4 linked regions of the Anolis sagrei genome follow. The protein of the gene in region 1 interacts with the protein of each later gene in a pairwise test. Links are inferred from orthologs where the notes say so. Each region holds a gene or a part of one and is shown in the gene's direction. Other genes may lie near its edges. The genes, in order: DTX2, ARNT2, RFX6 and ABHD16A.

Region 1 (7,920 bases):
GAGATTATTTTTCACCCCCATAGGTCAATGTGCCAGTTGTGGGCTGTGTGCGAGGAGAGCGAGGCAGGGAGAGGATGCAGATGGTTTCAGTGAGAGAGCCCAAGATATATATATATATACACATACACACACACGTGTATACATTCAGTAATACATACAGTATATAAACCCCAGACAAGAAATAATCAGGGACAGCTAATCACCTCTCAACAAAGGATTCCCCCAGGCAGTAAGAAGCCATGCCTTGAAACTACTAGGCTATTAAATGCTAATCAAGGTGGCCAATGGCAACATTGACACTTGCCTCCAACAGACAAGAGTTCTTTCTCCCAACCTGGAGTGTCCACAGATATATAAACGCCAAACAAGAAACAATCAGGGGCAGCTGATCACCTCTCAACAAATGATTCCTCCAGGAAAAAGCCACCCCTTGAAACTGCTAGGCCATTAAATACTAATCAAGGTGGCCAATGGTAATATTCACACTTGCCTCCGACAGACAAGAGTTCTTTCTCCCACCCTGGACAGTCCAGACAAGAAACAATCACCTCTCAACAAAGGATTCCCCCAGGCAGTAAGAAGCCGCACCTTGAAAATGCAAGGCCATTCAGTGCTAATCAAGGTGGCCAATCGAGACATTCACACCTACCTCCAACAGACAAGAGTTCTTTCTCCCACCCTGGACAGTCCAGACGAGAAACAATCAGGGACTGCTAACCACCTCTCAACAAAGGATTACTCCAGGCAGTAAGAAACTACATCTTGAAACTGCAAGGCCATTCAATGCTAATCAAGGTGGCCAATTGAGACATTCATACCTACCTCCAACAGACAGGAGTTCTTTCTCCCATTCCACAGATATATAAACCCCACTTGCCTAGTTTCCAACAGACCTCACAACCTCTGAGGATGCCTGCCAAAGACACAGGCGAAACATCAGGAGAGAATGCTTCTAGAACATGGCCAGACAGCCCGGAAAACTTACAACAACCTACTGTATGCACAATATTATTATTTGGTAGGTTGAGAAAAGTGGTTCAGGATCAAGGCACCTACCTCTTGGGCCGTTCCGCGTTCCCCTTTTCGAAAGGATGCCAGGGTTACCTTCCCAAATGGAATATTTGGTGATGCAGAATCAAAGGGAAAGAGGAGTCCATGGGAGGAGAGAGAAACCAAAATACACAGGGCGAATGCTTTCTTTTATGCGCAAGGATGCTCCAGACTTTTCTTCCTCCTCCTCTTCTTCTTCGTCCTGCTTTCCTTGCAAAGCAACACAAGGCGCCGAGAAAAGTCCCTCATCCGTCAATCGTGGGGTCCCACTTTCCCATTGCAGGAAGCTTCAAGGCTTAAAGCCAACTTGCAGGAGAGCATCGTTTGGATGCAGATTTGGGGGAGCAAACGGACCGAAACCTGCAGAGAGGTTCGACCGAGACACCTTCAAAGAGACATCCTTCTCCAGAGAATGGGTCAGGTTTCCAAAGAGAGGGAAAGGAAGGCAAGAGCCGACTATTTGTACCTGCTCCAAGGCGATGACAGACCTTGGAGGACGGTGGAGACAAGGTGGACCCATTTCCCCGCTCCCTTCCCTTCTTCTTCTTCTTCTTCTGTAAGGAACGTGTCTCAATGGAGAGGAAGTCATTGTTGGTCATGTACGAGGGTTGAATGAAAAGTAATGCCTCCACCTTTGTTACTTGGGTTTGGATGGGAATATTTTAATAAATCCAACGCAGAAATAATCCGCAGAATGTGCTCTTTAACTACCACTATTCACTTTTCCACATAAACACCAGACAATTGAATACATATCTGCCAACGACGAACAAGAGAGAGAGAGATAGAGCATCCCTACTTTGCGGATTTTCACTTTTTGCGGTGGTCCTGGAACGTAACACCCACAATAAGTGAGGTAACACTCTAGTTAAAAAGCTTTTCTATACCTTGGCTCAGTCCTTCATGAACATAGAGCCTGATGCAAGAAGATTTAAGATCTGGAAGGCCAGCTCTGAAGGAATGAGGTAAGATCTTCATGTGTCAAGACAGATCACTGAATACCAAAGTCAAGACTTGGACGACAGAACAGACGACACGCCGGTCAAGTCTGCAAATGACAGCAAATTGGGAGAAAGGGCAAAGACCCCAGAGGACAGGTTTTTACATAAAGCCTGGATGGCCATCTGTCAGGGATGATTTGATTGTGCTTTTCCTGCCTGGCAGAAGGGGGTTGGACTAGATGGTCCATGCGGTCTCTTCCAACTCTCCGCAGGGCCACTATAAGTCAAAGTTCACGTGATAGCAAGTGAGAACAACAAAGGACATCGCTCTTCACTGACTGACTGTTCCAACCGAGAGTTCCCCTTCAAGGGAAGATCATGTCCGTCCCACGAGAGAAAATATTTCTGAGCTGCACATATGCTGCGTGAGAACAAGATGGCCTTTGTTCAGTTGCGCCAATTGGTGGAGAAGAGCAACGGCTGCTGCCGCCTCAAGGGCGCAATGTTGAAAAGGGGGTCTGGATCGTGCCAAGTATCTTCTGCAGGAGACCCACAGCGGATGCTTGGAGCGTGAATGAGATACACAGGTGACAATTCTCTGCAATTCTCTGCAAAGGTGCACACCCCAGTCTTTCCGGTCTTGTTTGATTTCTTGCAGGGTGAAAAGAAGTAACTTCTTTTGTATTACGGCTAACCAAACGTCCCAACAACGGAGTTATAAACATAACTTATACAACTTGTTGCCTATTACATGGGAAACCAGCCGATTCCTCATCCATCTAAAACACAGACATGTGCTTTTCACCTTCAGAACTGACCAGCATCTCAAGGTCAGAGGATCACCTGGGAAGAAATCCCACTGGTGCATTGCAGCACACCAAAGTACCAGGAGTCACTCTGGACCTTGCTCTGACTTACAAGAAGCACTGCAATGCAATATATTACTACTAATAATAATATGATGTTATAATTATATATTTAATTATATATTTATATTACATGTAATATTACTACTAATATTACAATATAATGGTATAGTACAATATAGTAATATATTATACCGATATTGTACTATGCTCTGAGTCCCCTGTGGGGTGAGAAGGTTGGCATATAAATGTTGTAAATAAAATAATAAATAAAACAAATAACACGATCGTGCCATCACTGCCCAAGTGGTGACCACCTCACCCGCATCATAGGAAACCTGCTACAAAACAGGAGCTTTTTTGTTGAATTCCAGGGCCAGGGAAGCAAATGGCGGAAACAGAAGAATGGCCGGCCTCATGGGAGCGTGCTTGCTCCATCAGTGTTTAACATCTACACAAATGATCAGCCACTGCCAGACGGGATAAAGAGTTTCATCTACGCTGACAATCATGCCATCACCACTCAAGCAGGTAGCTTTGAAATGGTGGAAGAAAAGCTCTCCAAAGCTTTAGGTGCTCTTCCTGCCTATTACAGGGAAAACCAGCTCATTCCTAATCCAGCTAAAACACCGACATGTTATTTTCACCTTAAGAACAGACAAGCATCTCATGCTCGGAGCATGACCTGGGAAGGAATCCCACTGGAGCATTGCAGCACACCAAAGTACCAGGAGTCACTCTGGACCTTGCTCTGACTTACAAGAAGTACTGCTTGAATATCAAGCAAAAAGTGGGTGCTAGAAATAACATCTGACTGGCACAACCTGGGGATCACAACCAGACACAGTGAAGACATTTGCCCTTGTGCTTTGCTACTCTGCTGTTGAGTACGCATGCCCAGTGTGGAACACATGTGTCTGGTTGTGATCCCCAGGTTGTGCCAGTCAGCTTTCGTATGATATTGTTTATAGCACCCACTTTTTGCTTGATATTCAGGCAGTGCTTCTTGTAGGTCAGAGCACGGTCCAGAGTGACTCCCAGGTATTTGGGTGCGCTGCAATGCTCCCGTGGGATTCCTTCCCAGGTGATCTTCAGAGTTCGGGATGCTTGTCTGTTCTTGAGATGAAAAGCACATGTCTGTGTTTTAGATGGGTTGGGGATCAGCTGGTTTTCCCTGTAATAGGCAGTAAGAGCACCTAGAGCTTCAGAGAGCTTCTGTTGAACCATCTCAAAGCTCCCTGCTTGAGCGGTGATGGCACGATCATCAGCATAGATGAAGCTCTCCGTCCCTTCTGGCAGTGGCTGGTCATTTGTGTAAATGTTGAACATGGATGGGGCAAGTACACTCCCCTGAGGCAGGCCGTTCTTCTGTTTCCGCCATCTGCTTCTCTGGACCTGGAACTCAACAAAAAAGCTCCTGTTTTGTAGCAGGTTTCCTATGAGGCGGGTGAGGTGGTCGTCCTTGGTGATATTATACATTTTTCTCAGGAGGAGGCGGTGGTGGTTCACAGTATCATAGGCTGCTGACAGGTCTATGAAGACAGCTCCTGTGATCTGCTGCCTTTCAAAGCCATCTTCTATGTGCTGAGTCAGGTTCAGCACTTGCGATGTGCAGCTTTTGCCTTTTCTTATCCACACAGTCAAAGGCTTTAGAATAGTCAATGAAGCAGAAGTAGATGTTTTTCTGAAACTCCCTGCCTTTCTCCATTCTCCAGGATCTGGATATTGGTAATTGGGTCTCTCCTTCCTCTGCCTTTTCCTCTTTCCTAAATGAGAGGAATTCCACTCAAGCTCCCACTGAAGAACATGGGAGTCCTCATTAGACCTTCTGGACTAATGTGGCCCTTCTCTAATGTCTCTTTCCTGGCTCAAAAGCGTCTTGTTTTGGGCAGACCATCCCTGCTCGTGTGGGCCTTCTCTAATGTCTCTTTCCTGGCTCAGGAACTTCTTAGGCCTGAAAAGGAAACCAAACCGACGCCATTTTGCGCCTCTTTTCCCATCAGGCACCGCGATTTCGGATGCGCATGCGCCCTTCGGGAACGGAAGGAGCGCGCGCATGCGCAGTGGGCGCCCCGGCACTTCCGCCGTTGGAGAAGGAGGCCCAGGGAGTTTGGAGAGGCGCTTCCTTGGCAACAGGCAGAGGGAAGGTGAGGGGCCTGCGGGGGGTGGGAGTTGTAGTTCGGGGCGGGCCGCAGCGGGGAGAAGGCCCCACTGGGGCTGCCTCAGGATCCTGGGATTTGTAGTTTGGGAGAGGCAACAGGCCTCTCTTCGGTGGGGAAAGGCCCAAGGCCTTGGCAAACTACAACTCCCAGCACCCAGGAGCCTTGAGCCAGCAGGCCTGTGAAACAGGGATCCAGCTGCCTTAGCTCTGCAGCACAGATGGATTAATCAAATGGTAATTATTATTATTAAATTAATATTATATATTATATATTATAATATTTTTATAATTTATTATAATGTTACTAATATATATATATATATATATATCCAACTGCCTTAGCTCTGCAGTACAGATGTATTAATCAAATAGTAATTATTATTATTAAATTAATATTATATATTAATATTATTATTATATATTATAATATTGTTATAATTTATATTATAACACTTTTATATATGTGGGTATGTATGTGTGTGTGTGTATATATATATATATTATCCAACTGCCTTAGCTCTGCAGTACAGATGTATTAATCAAATAGTAATTATTATTATTATTATTATTAAATTAATATTATTATATATTATAATATTGTTATAATTTATTATAATGCTACTATAATATGTGTGTGTGTGTGTATATATATATATATATATATATATATATATATAAAATATCCAACTGCCTTAGCTCTGCAGTACAGATGTATTAATCAAATGGTAATAATAATAATTATTAAATTAATATTATATATCATATTATTATATTATATTGTTATAATTTATTATAATATTACTATAATATATGTACATATATATATATAATATATCCAACTGCCTTATCTCTTCGGTACAGATGTATTAATCAAATAGTAATTATTATTATTAAATTAATATTACTATATATTATATTATTATTATATATTATAATATTATTATAATTTATTATGTTACTATTATATATGTGTATATATATATATATATATATATATTCAACTGCCTTAGCTCTGCAGTACAGATGTATTAATCAAATAGTAATAGTAATTATTAAATTAATATTATATATCATATTATTATATATTATAATATTGTTATAATTTATTATAATGCTACTGTAATGTAATATATATATATATATTTATATATATATATATATATATTACATTACAGTAGCATTATAATGCTACTGTAATGTAATATATATATATATATATATATATCCAACTGCCTTAGCTCTGCAGTACAGATGTATTAATCAAATAGTAATAATAATAATAATAATAATAATAATAATAATAAAGAGCCTATACGATTCTTTTCAATTTCTGGCTGAATAACTTAAATTCTGATAATATTTTGACTTTGGTGTTTTAGCCATTCCATTGTGTGGCAGTGTCGTTCGGGTTGAATCGGTTGAGACTCTGTGTTGAGATATTTATAGAAAAACTGTCGCAAAATGTGCTGCAGGATGTCTCTCTTGCAACAACAAAGTTTTGGCAGTTGGATCAACGTTTTCCCATGACTTTATGATAGAACCAATTAGGAAACAACATTGGTAGCACAGGAACAAAAATCATGTAATAACTGTGTGTGGAGGGCGAACTCGGGATCTCCTGCAGGGAGAAAATTCTCTCGCGGATGGAGTGTCACGCTTGGCCTTTCCTTCCTTTTCCCTGTTCTGCTTCTAGACGTCGAAGATGAATGTTGATGCGGCGATGCTTTGAAGTCCCGAAGACTCCGTGGTTCAAGTGGTGGTATGAAAATGGCCGCCTTGCCAGGGACCTCTGTCGGGCCTCCTCCTCTTCCTCCGCCGGACCCGGGGGCCGCGGTGTGGGAGTGGCAGGACGAGTGTGGGCGCTGGAGGCCGTACTGCAGTGGGGTGTGCTGCTACATCGAGCAGTCCTTCCAAGCCCTGGCGGCAAAGGGCCGGCGCTCGCTGGGGACCTGGCCCTTGCAAGGCAGCATCCCCCTGGGGCAAGCGGACCCTGCTTTGGCCCCCTACGTCATCGACATCCCCAGTTTGACGCAGTTCCGACAAGATACAGGTAATGTCCACAGGGACTTCCATCTCCTAGCCAATCGGTAAACAGTGTGACTTGTGCGTGTTGATGGTTCGCCTGCTGAGTAAAAAAATGGAAATGCAGTAACAGTAATAATAGAGCAAAGGCGGATCTGGCCGGAGTGGTCCATGCCTTGGTCACCTCCAGATTGGATTACTGCAATGCGCTCTACGTGGGGCTGCCCTTGAAGACGGCTCGGAAGCTCCAACTGGTCCAACGATCAGCAGCCAGGATGTTAACTGGGGCCCCTTACAGAGAGAGGTCAACCCTCCTGTTTAAGGAACTCCACTGGCTGCCGTTTATATTCCGAGCTCAATTCAAGGTGCAGGTGCTTACCTACAAAGCCCTGAACGGTTTGGGACCAGCCTACCTGCATGACCGCATTTCCATCTATGAACCCACACGTTCTCTTCAGTCATTAGGAGAGGCCCTGCTCGTGATCCCACAGGCGTCGCAAGCACGCTTGGTGGGGACGCGGGACAGGGCCTTCTCCGTGGTGGCCCCCCAACTCTGGAACACCCTCCCCAAAGACCTTAGACAGGCCCCTTCATTGGCTATTTTCAGAAAGAACTTAAAAACCTGGCTTTTCCGATGCACCTTCCCAGATTAGGAAACCTCCACTACCGAGTCCCACAAGCACTTTATCAGAACCAATGACTGCTGCACATTGCACATCGCACTCGCCCTAGAAACCCTTTATACACCTCCTGTCAAATCAGCACTTTTAATCCTTGTACCCACCTTTTGGCCCGGCCCAGTTTTATTGTGTTTTAATGTACTGTGCTTGTTGTTTATTTTGCTTTAATTTGTTTTAATTGTTTGATTTGCTTGATTGTA
Region 2 (7,648 bases), on another chromosome or scaffold:
TGTAATTGAACCAAAACTGCCACACAGAACTCCCATGACCAACAGAAAACACCGGAAGGGTTTGGTGGGCATTGACCTTAAGTTTTGGAGTTGTAGTTCACCTACATCCAGAGAGCACTGTGGACTCAAACAACGATGGATCTGGACCAAACTTGGCACAAATAGTCAATATGGCCAAATGTGAACACTGGTGGGGTTTGGGGAAAATAGACCGTGACATTTGGGAGTTGTAGTTGCTGGGATTTATAGTTCACCTACAATCAAAGAGCCCCTTGAACCCTACCAACGATAGAATTGGGGCAAACTTTTCACACAACCCCCATGACCAACAGAAAATACTGTGTTTTCTGGTGGTCTTTGGTGACTCCTCTGACACCCCCGCGCGAACCCCCAGGGGTCCCGACCCCCAGGTTGAGAAACACTGGTTTAGGTTAAATATTTGTTTCCTACCATTTGAATCCATTGCTCTGTGTCCTAGTCTCCAGAGCAGAAGAAAAGAAGCCTGTCAAATATTTAACAGGTAACACGATACCCTTTCAAATATTTATACATGGCTCTCATGTTCCTCTCAGGCTGGATCTACACTTCCCTTTATCCCAGGATCTCATCCCAGATTATCTGTTTATCAGGCAGTGTAGACTCATATAATCCAGTTCAAAGTGGATTATCCAGGATCAGATCCTGGGATACAGGGCAGTGTAATAATGATGATGATGATGATGATGATGATGATGTATGGATCATCAATGTCGCAATCCCAGGTGGCAGCAGGATTGCAGAGAAACAACAGGAAAAGCTGACACGATATGAGAATTTAAAGATTGAACTGCAAAAACTCTGGCACTAGCCAGTAAAGGTGGTCCCAATGGTGATCGGCACACTGGGTGCAGTGCCTAAAGACCTTGGCCTGCACTTAAACACAATCAGCGCTGACAAAATGACCATCAGCCAGTTGCAGAAGGCCACCTTACTGGGATCTGCACGCATTATTTGCCGATACATCACACAGTCCTAGACACTTGGGAAGTGTCCGACGTGTGATCCAATGCAACAGCCAGCAGTGTGTCTGCTGTGGACTCATCTTGTTGTGTTTCCAATAATAATATTTATTTTTACCCCGTCACCATTTATTTATTTATTTACATTATTTCTATCCCGCCCATATCAGCCTGCAGGCGACTCAGGGCATTTCTACAATTCAATGCCATCAATACATACATTCACAAAACAAAAACAATTAAGTGCATTTAGACAAAAAAAAGACAATAGCAGTTTTAAAAGAGCTATGTCCTCTCGTTCCAAACCAATCCTCATCCGTTTCATTGTCTTGGCCATTCCTGGGTCATTCTCCATCTCAAGCTTGACTATCTATTCCGGGGTTCCGAATGTTTGCTCGAAGAGCCAGGTCTTTACTCTCTTCCGAAAAGTCAGGAGGGAGGGGGCTGATCTAATATCCCTAGGCAGGGAGTTCCACAGCTGAGGGGCCACCTACAATCAAAGAGCATTCTGAACTCCACCAATGATGGAATTGGGCCAAACTTAGCACACAGGGCTCCCATGACCAACAGAAAAACTGGAAGGGTTTGGTGGACACTGCCCTTGAGTTTGGGAATTGTAGTTCACCCATATCCAGAGAGCACTGTGGACTCAAACAATGATGGATCTGGACCAAACTTGGCATGAATATTCCATATGCCCAAATATGAACACAGGTGGAGTTTAAGGGAAATAGACCTTGACATTTGGGATTTGTAGTTGCTGGGATTTATAGTTCACCTACAATCAAAGAGCATTCTGAACTCCACCAATGATGGAATTCAACCAAACATGGCATACAGGACTTCCATGACCATCAGAACACACTGGAAGGGATTGGTGGCCATTGACCTTGAGTTTGGGAGTTGTAGTTCATCTACATCCAGAGAGCACTGTGGACTCAAACAATGATGGATCTGGACCAAACTTGGCACGAATACTCAATATGCCCAAATATGAACACAGATGGCGTTTGGAGGAAATAGACCTTGACATTTGGGATTTGTAGTTATTGGGATTTATAGTTCACTACAATTAAAGAGCATTCTGAAACCCACAAACGACAGAATTGGGGCAAACTTCCCACACAGAACCCCCATGACCAACAGAAAATACTTAAGGCCATCCAGTCCAACTCCCTTCACCAGGGTAAGAAAATGTAATCAGAGCCCTCCTGACAAAGAGCCATCCAGTCATAAATATAGATAGATAGATAGATAGATATGATTCTCTCTCTCTCTCTCACACACACACACAGATATAGTATCATAGATCTGAAAAGGACCCTTAAAGAAGGACTATGATATGTTGCATATTCCAGAGTAGGCGAACCAGACACTCTCCACATCAACACTGACAAAGAAACAACAAGAAATACTGTTTACTCACAAGCATATAGAAATTGCATATATTAGAAACCAACACTTTCTCATTACTTTATTTTCCAGATCACCAGACTGGGCCACAGCAACACATGGCAGGAGCAGCTAGTTGTATCATAAATGTACAATATAAAGCAATACACACAATCAATATAAATTCATGTTGTTGTTGTTCATTCGTTCAGTTGTCTCCGACTCTTCGTGACCTCATGGACCAGCCCACGCGAGAGCTCCCTGTCGGCCGTCACCACCCCCAGCTCCTTCAAGATCAGTCTAGTCACTTCAAGGATGCCATCCATCCATCTTGCCCTTGGTCGGCCCCTCTTCCTTTTGCCTTCCACTTTCCCCAGCATCATTGTCTTCTCTAGGCTTTGCTGTCTCCTCATGATGTGGCCAAAGGACTTCAGCTTTGTCTCTAGTCTCCTTCCCTCTAGAGAGCAGTCAGGCTTTCTTTCCTGGAGGATGGACTGGTTGGATCTTCTCAAAGTCCAAGGCACTCTCAGAACTTTCCTCCAGCACCACAGCTCAAAAGCATCTATCTTCCTTCGCTCAGCCTTCCCTAAGGTCCAGCTCTCACATTCGTAGGTGACTACAGGGAAGACTATGGCTTTGACTAGGCAATGGATCTTTGTTGCCAGTCTGATGTCTCTGCTCTTCACTATTTTATCGAGATTGGACATTGCTCTCCTCCCAAGAAGGAAGCGTCTTCTGATTTCCTGGCCACAGTCTGCATCTGCAGTCATCTTTGCTCCTAGAAATACAAAGTCTGTCACGGCCTCCACATTTTCTCCCTCTATTTCCCAGTTGTCAATCATTCTTGTTGCCATAATCTTGGCTTTTTTGACGTTTAGCTGCAACCCGGCTTTTGCGCTTTCTTCTTTCACCTTGATTAGAAGGCTCCTCAGCTCCTCTTCGCTTTCGGCCATCAAAGTGGTGTCATCTGCATATCTGAGTTGTTCGTGTTTCTTCCAGCAATTTTCATCCCAGCCTTGCATTCATCAAGCCCCGCACATACTCGCATGATGTGTTCTGCATACAAGTTGCATAGAATGGGTGAGAGGATACAACCCTGCTATACACCTTTCCCAATCTTGAACCCGTCTCCTGTTCCGTGGTCAGTTCTGACTGTTGCTCCTTGGTCCTTGTACAGATTCCTCAGGAGAGAGGGAAGGGGGCTTGGGATGCCCATCCCACCAAGAACTTGCCACCATTTATGATGATCCACACAGTCAAAGGCTTTAGAGTAGTCAATGAAGCAGAAATAGATGTTTTTCTGAAACTTCCTGCCTTTCTCCATTATCCAGCATCCGGATATTGGGAATCTGGTCTCTGGTTCCTCTGCCTTTTCTAAACCCAGCTTGAACATCTGGCAACTCTCGCTCCATGTATTGCTGGAGTCTTCTTCCTTGCAGGATCTTGAGTATTACCTTCCTGGTATGAGAAATAAAGGCCACTGTATGGAGGTTGGAGCAGTCTTTCGCATTTCCCTTTTTTGGTATGGGGATAGAAGTGGATTTCTTCCAGTTTGATGGCCATTCTGATGTTTTCCATATTTGCTGGCATATGGCATGCATCACCTTGACAGCATCCTCTTTTAAGATTTTGAACTAAATTCATAGGTAAAGGTAAAGGTAGTCCCCTGACATTAAGTCCAGTCATGTCTGACTCTGGGGTGTGGTGCTCATCTCCATTTCTAAGCCAAAGAGCCGGCATTGTCCGTAGACACCTCCAAGGTCATGTGGCTGGCATGACTGCATGGAGCGCCGTTACCTTCCCTTCGGAGCGGTACCTATTGATCTACTCACATTTGCATGTTTTCGAACTGCTAGGTTGGCAGAAGCTAGGGCTGACAGCAGAAGCTCACGCCGCTCCCCGGAATCGAACCTGCGACCTTTCGATCAACAAGTTCAGCAGCTCAGCGCTTTAACCCACTGCGCCACCGGGGGCTCCTAAATTCTAAAAACTAAAATTCATAGTTTTTGCATTTTTCCCCTTCAATATAGTGAAAAGGTGTAACTTCCGGGTGTGGCCACTGGGGGCGCTGAAGAACCACCCATTGGAGCCAAAAGCACAGAGCCAAGCAGAGCCCATCCCACCAATCAGAGGGCCGGGAGAGCCGCGCGAAGGCCAATGGGAGGCCCGCTAGGGGGCGGGACGTTTCGTTCCCAGGTGCTGCTGGGCGCATGCGCAGTCCGGCTGAGGAGGGGGCGCGGAGCGTGAGGGGAATGAGAGGGGAGGGCGCGGAGGGCGGGGAGGGTTCCTCCTCGGGCCGGGCATCCTGGGCAGTATGAGGAGAACCGAGGCGCCCTCCTTCGTGTAGCCGGCGAGGCCGCTCTCCCTCCCGCATCTGGACGGGGGCCTCCGCTGTGGGTGCCCTGCATCCGGGTCCTTCGCTGGCCAGGTTCCGAATTGGGCCCCAGGCAAAATGGCCGCGCCGGCCGCTGTGAACCCCTCGGGTGAGTAGAGGAGCGTTGCCATGGAGACGGGCTCTGAAGGCTAGGCCTGGGCCGATTTGGGCCCTCCAGGTGTGTTGGACTCCGACTCCCACCATCCCTAACAGCCTCAGGCCCCTTCCTTTTCACTCTGAGGCCTCTCTCCCACTGAGGCCTCTCTCCCACTGAGGCCTGCCTCACAATGAGGGCTCTCTCAGACCAATGCCTCACTCACTGAGGTGTTTCTCTCAGTTGAGGGCTATTAAATTGCATGCACGCCTGCTTATATTGAACTGCTTAAGCAGCTGAGGGGGAAAAGGAAAGAGGGACTTCAACTCCCACCATTCCTAACAGCCTCAGGCACTTTCCTTTTCACACTGAGGCATTTCTCCCGCTGAGGCCTCTCTCCCACTGAAGCCTACCTCACAATGATGGCTCTCTCCCACTGAGGCCTCTCTCCCACTGAAGCCTACCTCACAATGAGGGCTCTCTCCCACTGAGGCCTCTCTCCCACTGAGGCCTGCCTCACTGAGGGCTCTCTCAGACCAATGCCTCACTCACTGAGGTGTTTCTCTCAGTCTGAGGGCTATTAAATTGCATGCACGCCTGCTTATATTGGACTGCTTAAGCAGCTGAGGGGGAAAAGGAAAGAGGGACTCCAATTCCCACCATTCCTAACAGCCTCAGGCACTTTCCTTTTCACACTGAGGCATTTCTCCCGCTGAGGCCTCTCTCCCACTGAAGCCTAACTCACAATGATGGCTCTCTCCCATTGAGGCCTCTCTCCCACTGAAGCCTAACTCACAATGAGGGCTCTCTCAGACCAATGCCTCACTCACTGAGGCGTTTCTCTCAGTCTGAGGGCTACTAAATTACATGCACGCCTGCTTATATTGAACTGCTTAAGCAGCTGAGGGGGAGAAGGAAAGGGGGACTCCAACTCCCACCATTCCTAACAGCCTCAGGCACTTTGCTTTTCACACTGAGGCCTCTCTCTCACTGAGGCCTCTCTCAGACCAATGTCTCACTCAGGCGTTTCTCTCAGTCTGAGAGTTACTAAATTGCATGCACACCTGCTTATATTGAACTGCTTAAGCAGCTGAGGGAAAAAAGGAAAGGGGCACTCCAACTCCCACCATTCCTAACACCCTCAGGCCCATTCCTTTTCACACTGAGGCATTTCTCCCACTGAGGCCTCTCTCCCACTGAAGCCTCTCTCCTACTGAAGTCTTCCTCACAATGAGGGCTCTCTCAGACCAATGTCTCACTCACTGAGGCGTTTCTCTCAGTCTGAGGGCTACTAAATTACATGCACACTTGCTTATATTGAACTGCTTAAGCAACTGAGGGGGAAAAGGAAAGGGGGACTCCAACTCCCACCATTCCTAACAGCCTCAGGCCCTTTCCTTTTCACTCTGAGGGATTTCTCCCGCTGAGGCCTCTCTCCCACTGAAGCCTACCTCACAATGAGGGCTCTCTCAGACCAATGCCTCACTCACTGAGGCGTTTCTCTCAGTCTGAGGGCTACTAAATTACATGCACGCCTGCTTATATTGAACTGCTTAAGCAGCTGAGGGGGAGAAGGAAAGGGGGACTCCAACTCCCACCATTCCTAACAGCCTCAGGCACTTTGCTTTTCACACTGAGGCCTCTCTCAGACCAATGCCTCACTCAGGCGTTTCTCTCAGTCTGAGAGTTACTAAATTGCACGCACACCTGCTTATATTGAACTGCTTAAGCAGCTGAGGGAAAAAAGGAAAGGGGGACTCCAACTCCCACCATTCCTAACACCCTCAGGCCCATTCCTTTTCACACTGAGGCATTTCTCCCACTGAGGCCTCTCTCCCACTGAAGCCTCTCTCCTGCTGAAGTCTTCCTCACAATGAGGGCTCTCTCAGACCAATGTCTCACTCACTGAGGCATTTCTCTCAGTCTGAGGGCTACTAAATTGCATGCACGCCTGCTTATATTGAACTGCTTAAGCAGCTGAGGGGGAAAAGGAAAGAGGGACTCCAACTCCCACCATTCCTAACAGCCTCAGGCACTTTCCTTTTCACACTGAGGCATTTCTCCCGCTGAGGCCTCTCTCCCAATGAAGCGTACCTCACAATGAGGGCTCTCTCCCACTGAGGCCTCTCTCCCACTGAAGCTTACCTCACAATGAGGGCTCTCTCAGACCAATGCCTCACTCACTGAGGTGTTTCTCTCAGTCTGAGGGCTACTAAATTACATGCACGCCTGCATATATTGAACTGATTAAGCAGCTGAGGGGGAAAAGGAAAGGGGGACTCCAACTCCCACCATTCCTAACACCCTCAGGCCCATTCCTTTTCACACTGAGGCCTCTCTCCCATTGAGGCGTCTCTCCCACTGAAGCCTCTCTCCTACTGAAGTCTTCCTCACAATGAGGGCTCTGTCAGACCAATGCCTCACTCACTGAGGCGTTTCTCTCAGTCTGAGGGCTACTAAATTACATGCACACCTGCTTATATTGAACTGCTTAAGCAGCTGAGGGGGAAAAGGAAAGGGGGACTCCAACTCCCACCATTCCTAACAGCCTCAGGCCCCTTCCTTTTCCCCCTCAGCCGCTTAAGGAAAGGGCCTGAGGCTGTTAGGGATAGTAGGAGTTGAAGTCCAACACACCTGGAGAGATGGCCCAAGTTTGCCTACAATGCCTAGGTCTGATTTAGACACTGTAGTCTTATTGATTCAGCCTAGAATCGCATTGGCCTTTTAAGCTGCTGCATCACATCATTGCCTCATGTTTATCCATTTATTTTTTATTTATTTTGCATATTT
Region 3 (7,342 bases), on another chromosome or scaffold:
AAGCAGAGGTTGGATGGCCATCTGTCGGGGGTGATTTAAATGCAATGTTCCTGCTTCTTGGCAGAAAGGGGTTGGACTGGATGGCCCATGAGGTATCTTCCAACTCTATTTATTATTATTATTTATTTAAAACATTTATATTCCGCCCTTATCATCCCGAGGGGACTCAGGGTGGAGCACAACATACAAACAGCAAACATTCAATGCTGGGATATAAATAGATTATACATATATTACAATAATTTATCTTGACATTAAAATTCACTGGTTAAAATCATCTCAATCATCCATGTTGAATCTAGTTGGTATGGTAAGGTTTCCTGTTTCTGCCTTATTGCACTGATTCTATGATTTTATGATTCTATGATTTTATGATTCTATGACAGTGCAGACTCAGAGAGAATAACAAGTATACATGTTTGTACAACTTGCAGAAGAAGAAAGATTGAAGTAGAATACATTGAAACACTATAACACTAAGTTAAATAATTGTGAGGTGTTACTTCCAACTAGTATATTAACTCTGTCTTCTCTTTTTAAAATTAATAATTCTAAATTTGAGTTTGAATATGTTATTATTTTTACATATAATCCAATTCTGCATATTTTTCCATCTCAAAGGATCACTGAGCTCAGTTCTTTTTGAAATGTATGCATGCAAATAATTAAAGTTTTAAATAACATAAATCCAATGCAACTGCATTTAGTAAAACAGTTACAGGATTATTTTCTCCTGATTAGTTTTCCTTAATGTTCAGTTATAAAATGATTAGAAAGCACATAAATAACTCTCATCAATTCAATGGGTATTAGGGTTGTGCAATATGGGTAAACCTTGACCCATTTTGTGTGACAACTTCTGGTAGGGATCCAGATCTGGTTTTCGGGGGCACCTCCCAAAATTTGGAGGGCAGATATCTGTTTTCACTCTGGGGTGCTGAAAGATCCGTTTTCTATCAGCCCATTATGGGGGAAAGGGGGCTTCCCAGGCTCCGTTTCCCATCACTTTAAGCATTTAAACTGTTAGTGTTTCTACTCTACAGGAGAGACGCTCAGCTGCAGGCAGGCTCACATGCTTTATGGGCCTGAATGCCATACACACACATACTTTTTCCAAGGCAAGGAGACAAGTTCTGTTTCAGAGGAGGTGCTTGGCTGCAGGCAGACGTGCACGCTTTCTGGGCCTGCACACCACATACACACTCTTTCCAAGGCAAGGAGGCTGCTTACAAAAAAGTAAAGAGCCAGGATCAGTTCCCACTTGCTTTCGTGTTGAGTTCATTTTCATACCGGGAGAGGGCTTCCTGTTACGTGCACCTTAAAGTAAAAAGTAACAAAAGAATGGATGAAACAAAGGAAAATGGTTCAGTGCACAAACCTAACGGGCATATTCCAGTTAGGCTTAGCAATAAAATTGAGTCCAGTGTTTTCAAATTCATGGTTTGCTCACCCTATACTACAGCTTCTTTGCTGTTTGGCTATTTTTATGCATTCACTTTCGAACAAATAGAAGAAGAAAAACCATGATAATCTGTACAGCCTTCGTATTTGCTATAAACTTAGCATAGTCTAAGTGTAGCATAGTGCTGTTGGTTCAATTAGAATCACACAACTCCCAGGTGGTAACCAAGACTTTAGTTTTTGGCATTTTCCTGGCAGAATTCAACTGAACCAATCCCCCAAAGACCTGGCTATACCAACTCCACTGTAATCTCTACCCCATTATTTGCTTCAGCTCCCCACTGCTATCTCTCAGAAAATATGTAAAAGATTTTGCCATGCTAGCTGCCATTGCCCAATACAGTTTCCTCTATGGAAGTCCACAAAGGTTTGTATGGATAAAACAGAGCTTTCTGCCTAATGATTATTACAGTCATTTCTATAGCATATAGTTTATAGTTTTAAAAAATGCTATAACAGATTACCATTTTAAACATGAAACCTCCATTTTGAAATAGTATTTTCTTCTAGAAACTTTTTCATTCTTGAAATTTTTGAAAGGTAACATTTGCAGAAAATGTGGGAGAAAATGTGGGCGCACCCTTTGGCAGAGAAGGCTAAAGTTCTTGGAAAACTATAAATTCCATTCCATAGTACTAATACCATGTATTAGTGGAATAAAATTTATAGTTTTCCAAGGTCTTTAGCTTTCTCTGCCAAAGAGTGCTGGTGCTTCACCACACTGCAATTCCCAAGATTCCATAGAACTGATCCAAGGCACTTAAAGTTGAGTCAAATTGCATTAATTCACCCCCCCCCCCCCCCCCAAAAGAAATCCATGCTCTGCCTGTGAAGTAATAGAAATGTATTGGCTAGCCAGCATTTTGATTTATAAATTAAATGCAAATGTTAGTGCTTGTAAATTCCTTGCAATCTTCTGGATACCTGGTTAGTGAAGTGTGGGGAAATCTTCCTTTTTGCTCATCTCGTTCTCCCCTAGTTGCCCATCACCTTTACCATTATTTCATCCACATCACATTCTCTTCCTGGATGCATATGTAGTATGTAGTAAGCATACAATATAGGAGCCCCCGGTGGCACAATCGGTTAAAGTGTTGTGCCAGGTGGACTGCAGACCAAAAGGTCGGTGGTTCGAATCCAGGGAGTGGGGTAAGCTTCTGTCTGTGAGCTCCAGCTTCCCATGTGAGGACATGAGAGAAGCCTCCCATGGGATGACACCACATCTAGGCATTCCTTGCAGATGGCCAAATCTCTCACACTAGAAGTAACTTGCAGTTTTGAAGTCACTCCTGGCACACACAAAAAATGTGGTGAGCTTCAGCCAACATGGTGAAGCATTCTTTCCTTTAGTGCTACAGCAGCAGGACAAGCTCTGCTTGACAAGCAATGGAAGCTGGGAAAATGCAAATTAAAATCACTACCTAAAAGAACTCTTATTTAGGAACCTCTATGTCCTCCAGTGCAATGGTTCCCAACCTTTGGTCCTCCAGGTGTTTTGGACTTCAGCTCCCATAATTCTTAACAGCTCATAAGCTGGCTGGGATTTCTCAGAGTTGAAGTCCCAAACACCTGAAGGGACCAAAAGTTGGAGACCACTACTCCAGTGCAATTTCAGGATCATCTTCCGGTGGGAATTGAACTTAGAGTTGCACTGGAGTCCCATAATATTCCTAGAAAAGCCATAGTAATAAAATGTGAATAATCTTATATATATATAAAAGTTAAACTCACAGATGAGTGAAGTACGCCATCTGTTTTGCTCTTGTCTTCCAGAGTTCAGAAACACAACATTTTCAGCTGCAGTGTCTATTTGTGGAGGATGGAATACACAACACAGCTCAAGAACTTGTACTTCCTCATTTTAAAAAAGGGTTGGTCATAATCAATCCAGTGTCTTAGCTACAATTATATCCGAAGAGGGTTAACTTCATGGTAATCTATGCCCCGAAGACCTCCCATTTGGGCTATAGCAATGTACCTTCTGGGGGGCTACCCTTAAAGATGGTTGAACACCTATCCTTTGTGTAAAATATGATAAGCTTAACATGTTTAAAGTATTTAAAATCATAAAGGAGAAGATAAAGTTATTATATTAGTCTATTTGGCATACATTTTGCATCAGATGTTATTTCTTTTGTCAGTTAATAGGTAATTGGATGGCCATGAGTTCAAGCAATGACAGTTAAATATTAATAAAATTTCAATTGTATTTGCAACAAAAAGGGAAGTGTCCTTATTTGTTTTGTGCATTTTCTAATTTTGCTGCATGACTACTCCAAATATTCCTCCAGATCTCCCACCAAAGATCAGTAAAACATTATTCTGCTTCAGAAGCTGCAAAGGAAGAAGTATGTTGTTAAACTATGCCATCTACTGGTGATTTTTTATCCACAAAATAAATCATTGTATTGATGTATTGTCGAAGGCTTTCATGGCCAGAATCACTGGGTTGTTGTAGGTTTTTTTCGGGCTGTATGGCCATGGTCTAGAGGCATTCTCTCCTGTCGTTTCGCCTGCATCTATGGCAAGCATCCTCAGAGGTAGTGAGGTCTGTTGGAACTAGGGAAAAGGGTTTATATATCTGTGGAGTGACCAGGGTGAGACAAAGGACTCTTGTCTGCTGGAGCTAGGTGTGAATGTTTCAACTGACCACCTTGATTAGCATACAATGGGCTGACTGTGCCTGGGGCAAACTTTTGTTGAGAGGTAATTAGATGTCCCTGCCTGCTTCTTCTCTGTTGTTGTGCTGTTGCAATTTTAGAGTTTTTTAATACTTGTAGTCAGATTTTGTTCATTTTCATGGTTTCCTCCTTTCTGTTGAAATTGTCCACATGCTTGTGGATTTCAATGGCTTCTCTGTGTAGCCTGACATGGTGGTTGTGAAAGTGGTCCAGCATTTCTGTGTCCAGGTTGGTTCCACCTCAACTGCAATACTGTGTCTAATTCTGGGCACCACAGTTCAAAAAGATATTGACAAGCTAGAAGGTGTTCAGAGGAGGGTGACTAAAATGATCAAATGTCTGGAGACCGTTCCCTATGAGGAGCATCTTAAGGAGCTGGATATGTTTAGTCTGCAGAAGAGAAGGTTGAGAGGAGACATGATAGCCATGTATAAATATGTGAAAGGGTGTCATAAGGAAGAGGGAATAGACCTCTTCCTTATGCTGCCCTGGAAACCGGAACTCAGAGCAATGGGTTCAAATTACAGAAATGAGATTCTACCTGAACATTAGGAAGAACTTCCTCACCGTACGAACTGTTCAACAGTGGAACTCTCTGCCTCAGAGTGTGGTGGAACCTCCTTCCTTGGAAAATTTTAAAAAGAGGCTGGATGGCCATCTGTCAGAGATACTTTGCGCTTTTCCTGCATGGCAGCAGGTTGGACTAGATGGCTGATGTGGTCTCCTCCAATTCTCTTATTCTATGATTCTAAGCCAATGGTCATTCCATGATTGAGAACTGGGTTGGAGAGAAAAATATCACAGCATAGAAAGCTGTCATGTATTGAATCCTCCCATTGGCCCAACTAGCCCAGATTTATTACATGGATCTTTCACAGTTTAAGAATGCAAAGGGATCTTGCAGCACCTCTCATACTATGCTCAGACAGCAAAGAGGAAGAGCAGATGGAAGTGCCAGTGAAGCCCGTGGATGTTCCCGTGGCTGAAACTGGAGCCAGAAGCAGCTAGAAAGTTCAAGATAAAATGCCTACATTGATAGAGAGAGACCAGCAAAGAGAGGAGTTCAGGAAGTTGTGCCACTTTATGAAAAATTCTGCTAAATCAAGGAGCAGCTGAGAAGAGGAACCAGAGCTATAAATCAAGTAGTTGCATGATGCTTCTCTGGTGTGGAAAACTACTCTGTTTTGACCTGGTTTCCAACACTTACTTGTTCCTTTGTGGATTTGACTTCAGACCTGTTGTCATTATTCTTCTGGCTCAACCCTAAACAGACTTATTGATTTGGTTTCCTTGGCCTCAGACTCTTTAGACCTCAGCTAATGTCTCACTTATCTTCTGGTAGCTTGTTCTGTTTCAACCAGCCACTTGCACCACTGTTGTGATTACAACAGCACCTTAGAGTCTAAGGCCCTTTTCACACTGCCCCTGTATCTCAGCATCTGATCCTAGATTATCTGGCCATGGAGACTCATATAATCGAGTTTAAACCTGGGATCAGATCCTGGGTACAGGGGCAGTGTGGAAGGGGCCTATGAGAACAAAATTAGGTGCATAAACTTTTGTACACTCAGTCTACTTCCTCAGTTGCAACCTTTGTACACTTAACCTACAAAAGCATGTGCTACTAGTATCAACTTCATTCTCTTTGCTTGTCTCTAAGATATTACAAGATCCCTTTGCATACTATTCCAGACAAACATAGCAATGCCTTTGAATTCTACACAATGAACTATTTAAGGAAGAAATCTTATTATTTATTAATTAAAAATATTTCTGTGCACAAGAACAAGGAAAAGTACTGTAATAATCAATTCAGAAAAATAAATGATGACAACAAAAAAAGAAAGAACAAGAGACCTCTTCCACGAGATCCAAGAAATCAAAGGGAGTGTTACACTCCAGAGCAGGATCCCCTGTGACTTCAAACACCACAGTTTAGTTCAAATAGCAAGCAGTTTATTGTATGTAATAAAAGCCAAAGCAATAAAAAGTAGTCCACAGCAAAAGGTAAATCCAATTGATTAAGAAGAAAAAGGAGCAATTAGTCCAAAGAGAGATAGTCCAAAGAAGTCCATGAAACTAGATGCTTGATTTCAAAGGCAAATAACAGCAAAGGCACTTCAAACAGGAATCAAACAAAGACAAGGGTCCAGGAATTTGGCATGAAGCAAGTTGCTTCATCTGAACATTGCTTCATCTGAAGCTAGATTCTGTACTTGGCACTTATGTTCCTGCCCTATTTCACAAACAGCTAAGAATGGATTTTTCCTTAACTTTAGTTTCACTTCTAACTTCTGATGTAATCTGGCTGAGTGCCATAATTGCTGGTTTGTTTGTCTTTGCTGGCTAAAAACACTTATGTTCAAGCCTTCATTAAAATCTGCACCTGGAGATAACTGACCAGTGGACTGCGGCGCAGAGCCTTTCTCAGGCTCAAGACCTTGAGAATCCCCTTATAGCAATAAAGCCTTCTCTAAGCCATCATTTGAACTGCATTCAGACCCCCCCCCCCCCCAATGTCTAAAACCAGGTCCAGGAAACGGACCGTCATCCCCATTCCCTTCAGGAACATCTTCATGGACAGCATCTCCATTTCCATCAGAAGAATCAACTTGAACATGAACAACATTGTCATTCCCATCATCCAAAACAACCTGATCATTAGACACAATCACAGGCTGACATACAACACGGAAATTGAAAACAAGAGTGGGAATGCTCTACAACCAGCAGGGGAAGACATTACATGACTAAGTAGAAATAAAAGCCAATGAAAACCATACATTGAAAAAATATATAAAGGACGTGAAAGGATGGCAGATTCATTCAAGGAAGAACAATCTGATGATGAGCCAATAACTTTATAAATTAAAATGGAAACTGCACTCTGAGCACTAGAGAGAAATAAATCACCAGGAACTGATAGCACACCAATATCCAGCTAAAGGACAACATTTACTCTAGTTCTAAATATGGGAAACAAAACAATAGCTTACAGAAACACTGGATATACATTCCACTTCCCAAGAAAGGAAATACCAGGGGTGTAGTAACCACAGAACCATCAATTAATTGTTTATGCAAAAAAAGTAGTGCTAAAGTTCTACAACAAAAACCCTTACCCCATATGTGGTGAAAAATGGATTCAGCAAAGGAAAAAGCCCTACCATATTTTATATCCAGAATATTCAAATAATTTA
Region 4 (7,478 bases), on another chromosome or scaffold:
ACTTCTGCTGTCTTCCTTCAACTACAAGACTTTATTTGCTTTGTTATCAAAATACAATGCTGAGGCACAAAAGGAAGGCCAGGAATAGTTACTCCAAGCCCTATCGGCACGGCACACTTCCCGAGGAGCCTAGTTTGAGCGGCTTATCAAAAGAAACATGGATTGATATAATGAAAGGGAAGGGAAATTATGGTATATGAGTTAGTTTTAATGATGTCTTGAGCATTTCCCAGCTTCTCCTCAGGTTGTGCCACTCAACTTTTGTATATTATTTCTAGCACCCACTTTTTGCTTGATAGTCAAGCAATGCTTCTTGTAAGTCAGAGCACAGTTCAGGGTGACATCCAGGTATTTTGGTGTGCTGCAATGCTCCACTGAAATTCCTTCCCAGGTAATGGGATTCCTTCCCAGGGCTCAGAGCTCAAGATGCTTGTCTGTTCTTAAAATGAAAAGCACACCTCTGCTTTTTAGATGCATTAGGAATCAGCTGGTTTTCCCTGTAATAGGCAGTAAGAACACCTAAAGCTTCAGAGAGCTTCTGTTCAACCATTTCAAAGCTCTCTGCTTGAGCGGTGATGACACGATTGTCAGCATAGATGAAACTCTCTGTCCCTTCTGGCAGTGGCTAGTCATTTGTGTAAATGCTAAATACTGATGAAGCAAGCACGCTCCACAGGACAAGCCCTTCTTCTGTTTTTACTATCTGCTTCCCTGATCTTGGAACTCAACAATGAAGATTTCATATGAAGCAGATGAGGTGGTAGCCCTCTATGATATTATAATTTTTCTCAGGAAGAGGAGATGATTTACAGTATCATAAGCTGCTGTCAGGTCTATGAAGACAACTCCTGTAATCTGCTGCCTTTCAAAACCATCTTCTATGTGCATCTTCTATTTGTGTAAATGTAGCAAGCATGCTCCTCTGAGGCAGACCATCCTTCTTTCTTCCAATAGTTAAACAACCAGATAATGAAAACAACCACCTTTGTGAACCTTTCACAACCACTGAATTGGAAATGGCTCTCAACAAATGTAAAATGGCAAAGCAGCTGGCTTGGACGATCTGCAGATGGAACAAATTAAGAACTTTGGTCCAAAAGCAAGATGCTGGCTGCTGAAGCTGATGAACAACTGCATTGCATCCTATCGGATCCCCAAAATCTGGAGGAAAGCAAGTCATAGCCACTTTGAAACCAGGCTAAAACCATTATGATCCAAAAAGCTATAGACCAATCTCCTTGTTGTGTCATCTTTATAAGGTTCTGGAGAGAGATATTTGCATAGAATTATGGAAAAATATACCTGTTTATGATTCCACAGCAAGCTGGTTTTAGGAAAGGGAAAAGCTCCACATCACAAGTGTTGAACCTGACTCAGCACATAGAAGATGGTTTTGAAAGGCAGCAGATCACAGGAGTCGTCTTCATAGACCTGTCAACTGTTTATGATGTTGTAAATCACCGCCTCCCTCTGAGAAAAACATATAATATCACAAAGGATAACCACTTCATTTGCTTCATAGGAAATCTACCCCATAGCATTGAGCCATGGCAGTTAAAAGTGGTGTCAGACTGCATTAATTCTACACTATATATGTATTAATTAATTAATTTCATGCTTTATCTCTCCATATGGAGACTCAAAGCGGTGCACAATCAAAAACATTACAACTTAAAATATACATATATACAATAATAGACAATATATATTATATATTATTTTATATTATTTTACTGACACAAAAACACAGTATGTCACAACAAACAAGATATATATGCTGGATTTCGTATCACAAAATCACAAGTTAAATACTTCCCAAGCATCTAGGACTGTGTGGTGTATTTTTGAATGATGTGCACAGATCCAAGTAAGGTGGCTTTTTGCGGTTGATAGATCGTGATTTTGTCAATGTTTATTATATATTTTTATTTTATTCCTTCATCACATTATTTTGCATCTGTTTATTGCATTTTCTGTTATTTTATGTATTTTGTTTTGATGCTATTATTTGCTGTTTGTATTTTATTTTATTTTATTGTACTGTAATTCTGGGCTTGGCCTCGTTAGCCGCCCCGAGTCCCCTTTGGGGAGATGGTGGCGGGGTATAAATAAAGATGGTGATGATGATGATGATGATTATATATTATCAGTAGTAATTATATTTAATATATTAGCATTACTATATTACAATAACATTATTATATATTATATTGTATTATTAGTAGTATTTATATTGTATTATATATTATTATCAATATATTTATATACAATATATTACATCATTAGCAAAGCACAATATCAGTATTATTTATTACTATATTGCACCATAATACTGCAATATTATTAGTAATATTACATGTAATCCATAATATACAATTATTATATTACTATATTGTACTATATTAATATACTACAGTATATAAAACATTACCTGTATATTATACTATTATATAATATACTGTACTATATATTAACTTGTAGTATATATAATATATTGTATTATTATTAGTATTATATTGTATTATAATCAATATTATATTTATATGCAATATATTACATCATTAGCGAAGCACAGTATCAGTATTATTTATTACTATATTGTACCATTAGGCTATACTGAAATATTAGGTTCTTGTGGGTTTTTTCGGGCTATAGAGCCATGTTCTAGAGGCATTTCTCCTGACGTTTCACCTGCATCTATGGCAAGCATCCTCAGAGGTAGTGAGGTCTGTTGGAATTAGGACAATGGGTTTATATATCTGTGGAATGGCTGGGGTGGGGCAAGGAACTCTTCCCTGCTGCAGTTAGGTGTGAATGTTTCAACTGATCACCTTCATTAGCATTTGAAGGCCTGCCTGAGCCTGGGAAAATCTCTTGCTGGGAGGTGTTAATCTGTGCCTGGTTGTTTCCTCTCTGTTGTTTTGCTGTTGTAATTTTAGAGTTTTTTAATACTGGTAGCAGATTTTGTTCATTTTCATGGTCTCTTCCTTTCTGTTGAAATTGTCCACATGCTTGTGGATTTCAATGGCTTCTCTGTGTAGTCTGACATGGTGGTTGTTGGAGTGGTCCAGCATTTCTGTGTTCTCAAATAATATGCTGTGTCCAGGTTGGTTCATCAGGAGCTCTGCTATGGCTGACTTCTCTGGTTGAAGTAGTCTGCAGTGCCTTTCATGTTCCTTGATCCATGTTTGGGCATTGCTGCGTTTGGTGGTCCCTATGTAGACTTGTCCACAGCTGCATGGTATACGGTAGACTCCTGCAGAGGTGAGAGGATCCCTCTTGTCCTTTGCTGAACGTAGCATTTGTTGGATTTTCTTGGTGGGTTTGTAGATTGTTTGTATGTTATGTTTCCTCATCAGCTTCCCTATGTGGTCAGTGGTTCCCTTGATGTATGGCAGGAACACTTTTCCTCTGGGTGGATCTTCATCTTGACTCTCGTGGCTTGTTCTCGGTCTTGCAGCTCTTCTGATGTCTGAGGTGGAGTATCCATTGGCCTGGAGAGCCCAGTTGAGGTGGTTCAGTTCATCTTGAAGGAGGTGGGGTTCGCAGATTCTTTTTGCACGGTCTGCCAAGGCTTTAATGGTGCTTCTTTTTTGACTTGGGTGATGGTTGGAGTTTTTATGTAGATATCTATCTGTGTGTGTGGGTTTTCTGTAAATGGTGTGACCCAATTGTTGATCTGGTTTACGGATGACTAGGACATCTAGAAAAGGCACTCTTCCTTCATTTTCTTTTTCCATGGTGAACTGGATGTTTGGGTGGATGCTGTTAAGATGGTCCAGGAACCTGTTGAGTTCTTCTTCTCCATGGCTCCAAATGGTGAAGGTGTAATCCACATATCTGAACCATATCGTGGGCTTTTTGGTTGCTGTCTCCAGGGCTTGTTTTTCAAAGTGTTCCATGTAGAAGTTAGCTATGACCGGGCTGAGAGGGCTCCCCATAGCTACTCCATCTTTCTGTTCGTAGAATTCATTGTCCCACTGAAAGTAACTGGTGGTGAGGCAATGGTGGAACAGAGCCGTGATGTCTTCTGGGAACCTCTGGTTGATGAGTGCCATGGTGTCTGCTACCGGGACCATGGTAAATAGAGATACCACATCGAAGCTGATCAGTTTGTCGTTGGTCAACAATATAATATATTGTATACTATTATATTATTATATTGTACTATATTAATATACTACAGTATATAAAACATTACCTGTATATTATACTATTATATAATATATTGTACTATATATTAACTTGTAGTATATATAATATATTATGTCTTAATTACAGCATTATAATTATACAGATGCACTCAGACAGTACGAAAACTTGGGCTGTCTTTTGTATTTCCCGCCTGCTGTTGCATCACAAACCAGAGGCTAGGCTAGCGTTCTGGAAAACCAAGGCACCTTTTTGTCCCTTTCCCCTCCCTGTAGGAAACCCGGAAGTGCGGCTCCCCCCTGTCCTCGCTCCCTCCTCCCTTCCCCGCTGCCCGGCTTCGGGTCCGTCCCAAGATGGCGAAGTTATTGAGCTGCATCTTGGGGCCAAGGCTGTACCGGGTTTATCGAGACAGGGACCCTCCCAGGATCCGCCGCCTCCGGGATGTGGCCGACGACCCAACGCAGCCTCTCCTGGAACCCTCCTGGGTGAGTCCATTAACCTTAATCCCTCCCCCCGTTGAAGATTTGGTATGTCCCACGTCCCCCTTTTGTACCGAAGCTGGCGGGCTGAACCATTACAGCAAGGAGGGGGAGGACTCTATTGGGCGAGTCCATTACTTTCTTTTCCTCTGTACCCCCTGGTGAAGACTTGGTCTATTCCAAGTCACTCTTTTACAGTGCTTGGAAGGCTGAACCATTACAGTAAAACGGGGGCCACTATGAGCTATGTAAGGGGTGGGATTATTCTGACCTTTTGAAAGAGATAATGGCAAAATAGTACAAACAAAGGAGGTTGTAGGAGGAATGAAAGAAAAGGGTGAGGCTACACCTAGCTCATGCGTGGCTTTTATGGTTCTTTTGTTATACTTCCTCTTCTCCACCCTCAATTGTGTTGCCACCTTCTCCTATAATCATAGTATAATAGAGTTGGAAGAGGCCACATGGGCGGTCTAATCCAACCCTTTGCCATACAGGAAAAGCACAATCAAAGCACCCCCGACAGATGGCCATCCAGCCTCTGTTTAAAAGCTTCCAAAGAAGGAGCTTCCAACACACTCCTATGGCAGAGAGTTCCACTGCTGAACAGCTCTCACAGTTAGGAAATTCTTCCTAATGAATTCTTCCTAATGAATATACCATGAAAATGAACAAAATCTGGCTACCAGTATTAAAAAACTCTAAAATTACAACAGCAAAAGAGCAGAGAGGAAACAACCAGGCACATCTTAACACCTCTCAACAAAAGATTCCCCCAGGCTCAGCCAGGCCTTCAAATGCCAATGAAGGTGGTCAGTTGAAACATTCACACCTAGCTCCAGCAGAGAAGAGCTCCTTGCCCCACCCCAGCCATTCCACAGATATATAAACCCATTGTCCTAATTCCAACAGACCTCACTACCTCTGAGGATGCTTGCCATAGTTGCAGGCGAAACGTCAGGAGAAAATGCCTCTAGAACATGGCCATATAGCCCGAAAAAACCTACAACAACGCAGTGATTCCGGCCATGAAAGCCTTTGACAATACTTTAACACATAATATAAAACAATAACAAACGTCAGGAGAAAATGCCTCTAGAACATGGCCCTATAGCCCGAAAAAACCCACAAGAACCTAGTAATTCTTCCTAATGTTCAGGTGGAATCTCATTTCCTGTCATTTGAACCCATTGCTCTGAGCCCTAGTTTCCAGGGCAGCAGAAAACAAGCCTGCTCCCTCTTCCTTATGACACCCATTCACATATTTATACATAGCTGTCATGTCTCCTCTCAACCTTCTCTCCTGCAGGCTAAATATGCCCAGTTCTCTAAGACGCTCCTCATGGCAATTCATGGTCTCCAGACCTTTGGTCATTTTAGTTGCCCTCCTCTGGACACCTTTCAGCTTGCCAATATCTCTCTTAAATTGTGACTAAAATTATAGAATCATAGAATTGGAAGAGACCTCATGGGCCATCCAGTACAACCCCCTGCCAAGAAGCAGGATTATTGCATTCAAATCACCCCTGACAGATGGCCATCCAGCCTCTGTTTAAAAGCTTCCAAAGAAGGAGCCTCCACCACACTCCGGGGCAGAGAGTTCCACTGCTGAACGGCTCACACAGTCAGGAAGTTCTTCCTCATGTTCAGATGGAATCTCCTTTCTTGCAGTTTGAAGCCATTGTTCCATTGCGTCCTAGTCTCCAAGGAAGCAGAAAACAAGCTTTCTCCCTCCTCCCTGTGGCTTCCTCTCACATATTTATACATGGCTATCATATCTCCTCTCAGCCTTCTCTTCTTCAGGCTAAACATGCCCAGCTCCTTAAGCCGCTCCTCATAGGGCTTGTTCTCCAGACCCTTGATCATTTTAGTCACCCTTCTCTGGACACATTCCAGCTTGTCAATATCTCTCTTGAATTGTGGTGCCCAGAATTGGATACATTATTCCAGGTGAGGTCTAACCAAAGAAGAATGGAGAGGTTCCATGACTTCTCTCATTCTAGACACTATACTCCTTTTGATGCAGCCAAAAATCTCATTGGCTTTTTAAGCTGCCGCATCACACTGTTGGCTAAGGTTCACGATGTTGTCTACAAGTATTCCAAGATCTTTCTCACATGTACTGTTGTCGAGCCAGGTGTCACCTAGCCTGTATCTCTGCATTTCATTTTTTTCTGCCTAAGTGTAGTACACTACCATATAATGGAGATTATCAAAGCAGATAACCCAGATTGTCTGTTTTGAACTGGTTTATCTGAGTCTATACTTCCATATAATCCAGTTCAAAGCAGATAATCTGGATTTTATATGTAGTGTAGAAGAAGTCTCTGGGGATCAGAGTTTGAGTCCCTGCTCAGCTGTTAAAACCCATTGGTTGACCCTGGGCAAGTCACGTACTTTTATTTCAGAAAAGTTGATAGATTGTCTTTGTTGTTTTGTGTCTTCAATGCTTCATCTGTTGGGGGTGCTTATATTTTCCTTTATGGCGTGGGATTCAACTAGATGGATGGTCCTTGTGGTCTTTTCCACTTCCAGGCTTTTAAGGCTTCTTCTACCCAGCCATATAATCCAGATTATCAAATCTACACTACCATATAATCCAGTTCAAAGCAGATAATCTGGATTTTATATGGCAGTGTAGAATTTGCCTTAAAGTGCATCTACAGTGTGAAATGGGTGCAGTTTGACACCACTTTGACTTCCGTGACTCAATGTTATGGAATCTGGGGAGTTGTAGCTTTACTAGGTATTGAGCCTTCTCTGACCAAAGAGTGCTGGCGCCTCATCAAACTACAATTCCTGTGATCCTATAGCACTGAGCTATGGCAGTCAAACTACTTTCATTTTACA

Evidence for each region.
Region 2: the proteins of DTX2 (region 1) and ARNT2 interact in binary tests that used the Homo sapiens proteins (3 or more experiments, as listed by UniProt). The link is inferred for Anolis sagrei from reciprocal best matches to the Homo sapiens genes DTX2 and ARNT2.
Region 3: the proteins of DTX2 (region 1) and RFX6 interact in binary tests that used the Homo sapiens proteins (3 or more experiments, as listed by UniProt). The two-hybrid records come from large-scale screens. The link is inferred for Anolis sagrei from reciprocal best matches to the Homo sapiens genes DTX2 and RFX6.
Region 4: the proteins of DTX2 (region 1) and ABHD16A interact in binary tests that used the Homo sapiens proteins (3 or more experiments, as listed by UniProt). The two-hybrid records come from large-scale screens. The link is inferred for Anolis sagrei from reciprocal best matches to the Homo sapiens genes DTX2 and ABHD16A.

What each region holds. Positions count from the first base shown.
Region 1 is NC_090031.1:32,855,658-32,863,577, reverse strand, and holds the start of DTX2 (probable E3 ubiquitin-protein ligase DTX2), read left to right. Parts: upstream 1-4,906; 5' UTR 4,907-5,004; intron 5,005-6,711; 5' UTR 6,712-6,779; coding exon 6,780-7,068; intron 7,069-7,920. UniProt on the Homo sapiens protein: Regulator of Notch signaling, a signaling pathway involved in cell-cell communications that regulates a broad spectrum of cell-fate determinations.
Region 2 is NC_090029.1:33,870,623-33,878,270, reverse strand, and holds the start of ARNT2 (aryl hydrocarbon receptor nuclear translocator 2), read left to right. Parts: upstream 1-4,637; 5' UTR 4,638-4,842; coding exon 4,843-4,873; intron 4,874-7,648. UniProt on the Homo sapiens protein: Transcription factor that plays a role in the development of the hypothalamo-pituitary axis, postnatal brain growth, and visual and renal function. Specifically recognizes the xenobiotic response element (XRE).
Region 3 is NC_090021.1:89,811,135-89,818,476, reverse strand, and holds the start of RFX6 (DNA-binding protein RFX6), read left to right. Parts: upstream 1-4,331; coding exon 4,332-4,370; intron 4,371-7,342. UniProt on the Homo sapiens protein: Transcription factor required to direct islet cell differentiation during endocrine pancreas development. Specifically required for the differentiation of 4 of the 5 islet cell types and for the production of insulin.
Region 4 is NC_090022.1:20,738,783-20,746,260, forward strand, and holds the start of ABHD16A (phosphatidylserine lipase ABHD16A), read left to right. Parts: upstream 1-4,458; 5' UTR 4,459-4,505; coding exon 4,506-4,637; intron 4,638-7,478. UniProt on the Homo sapiens protein: Phosphatidylserine (PS) lipase that mediates the hydrolysis of phosphatidylserine to generate lysophosphatidylserine (LPS). LPS constitutes a class of signaling lipids that regulates immunological and neurological processes.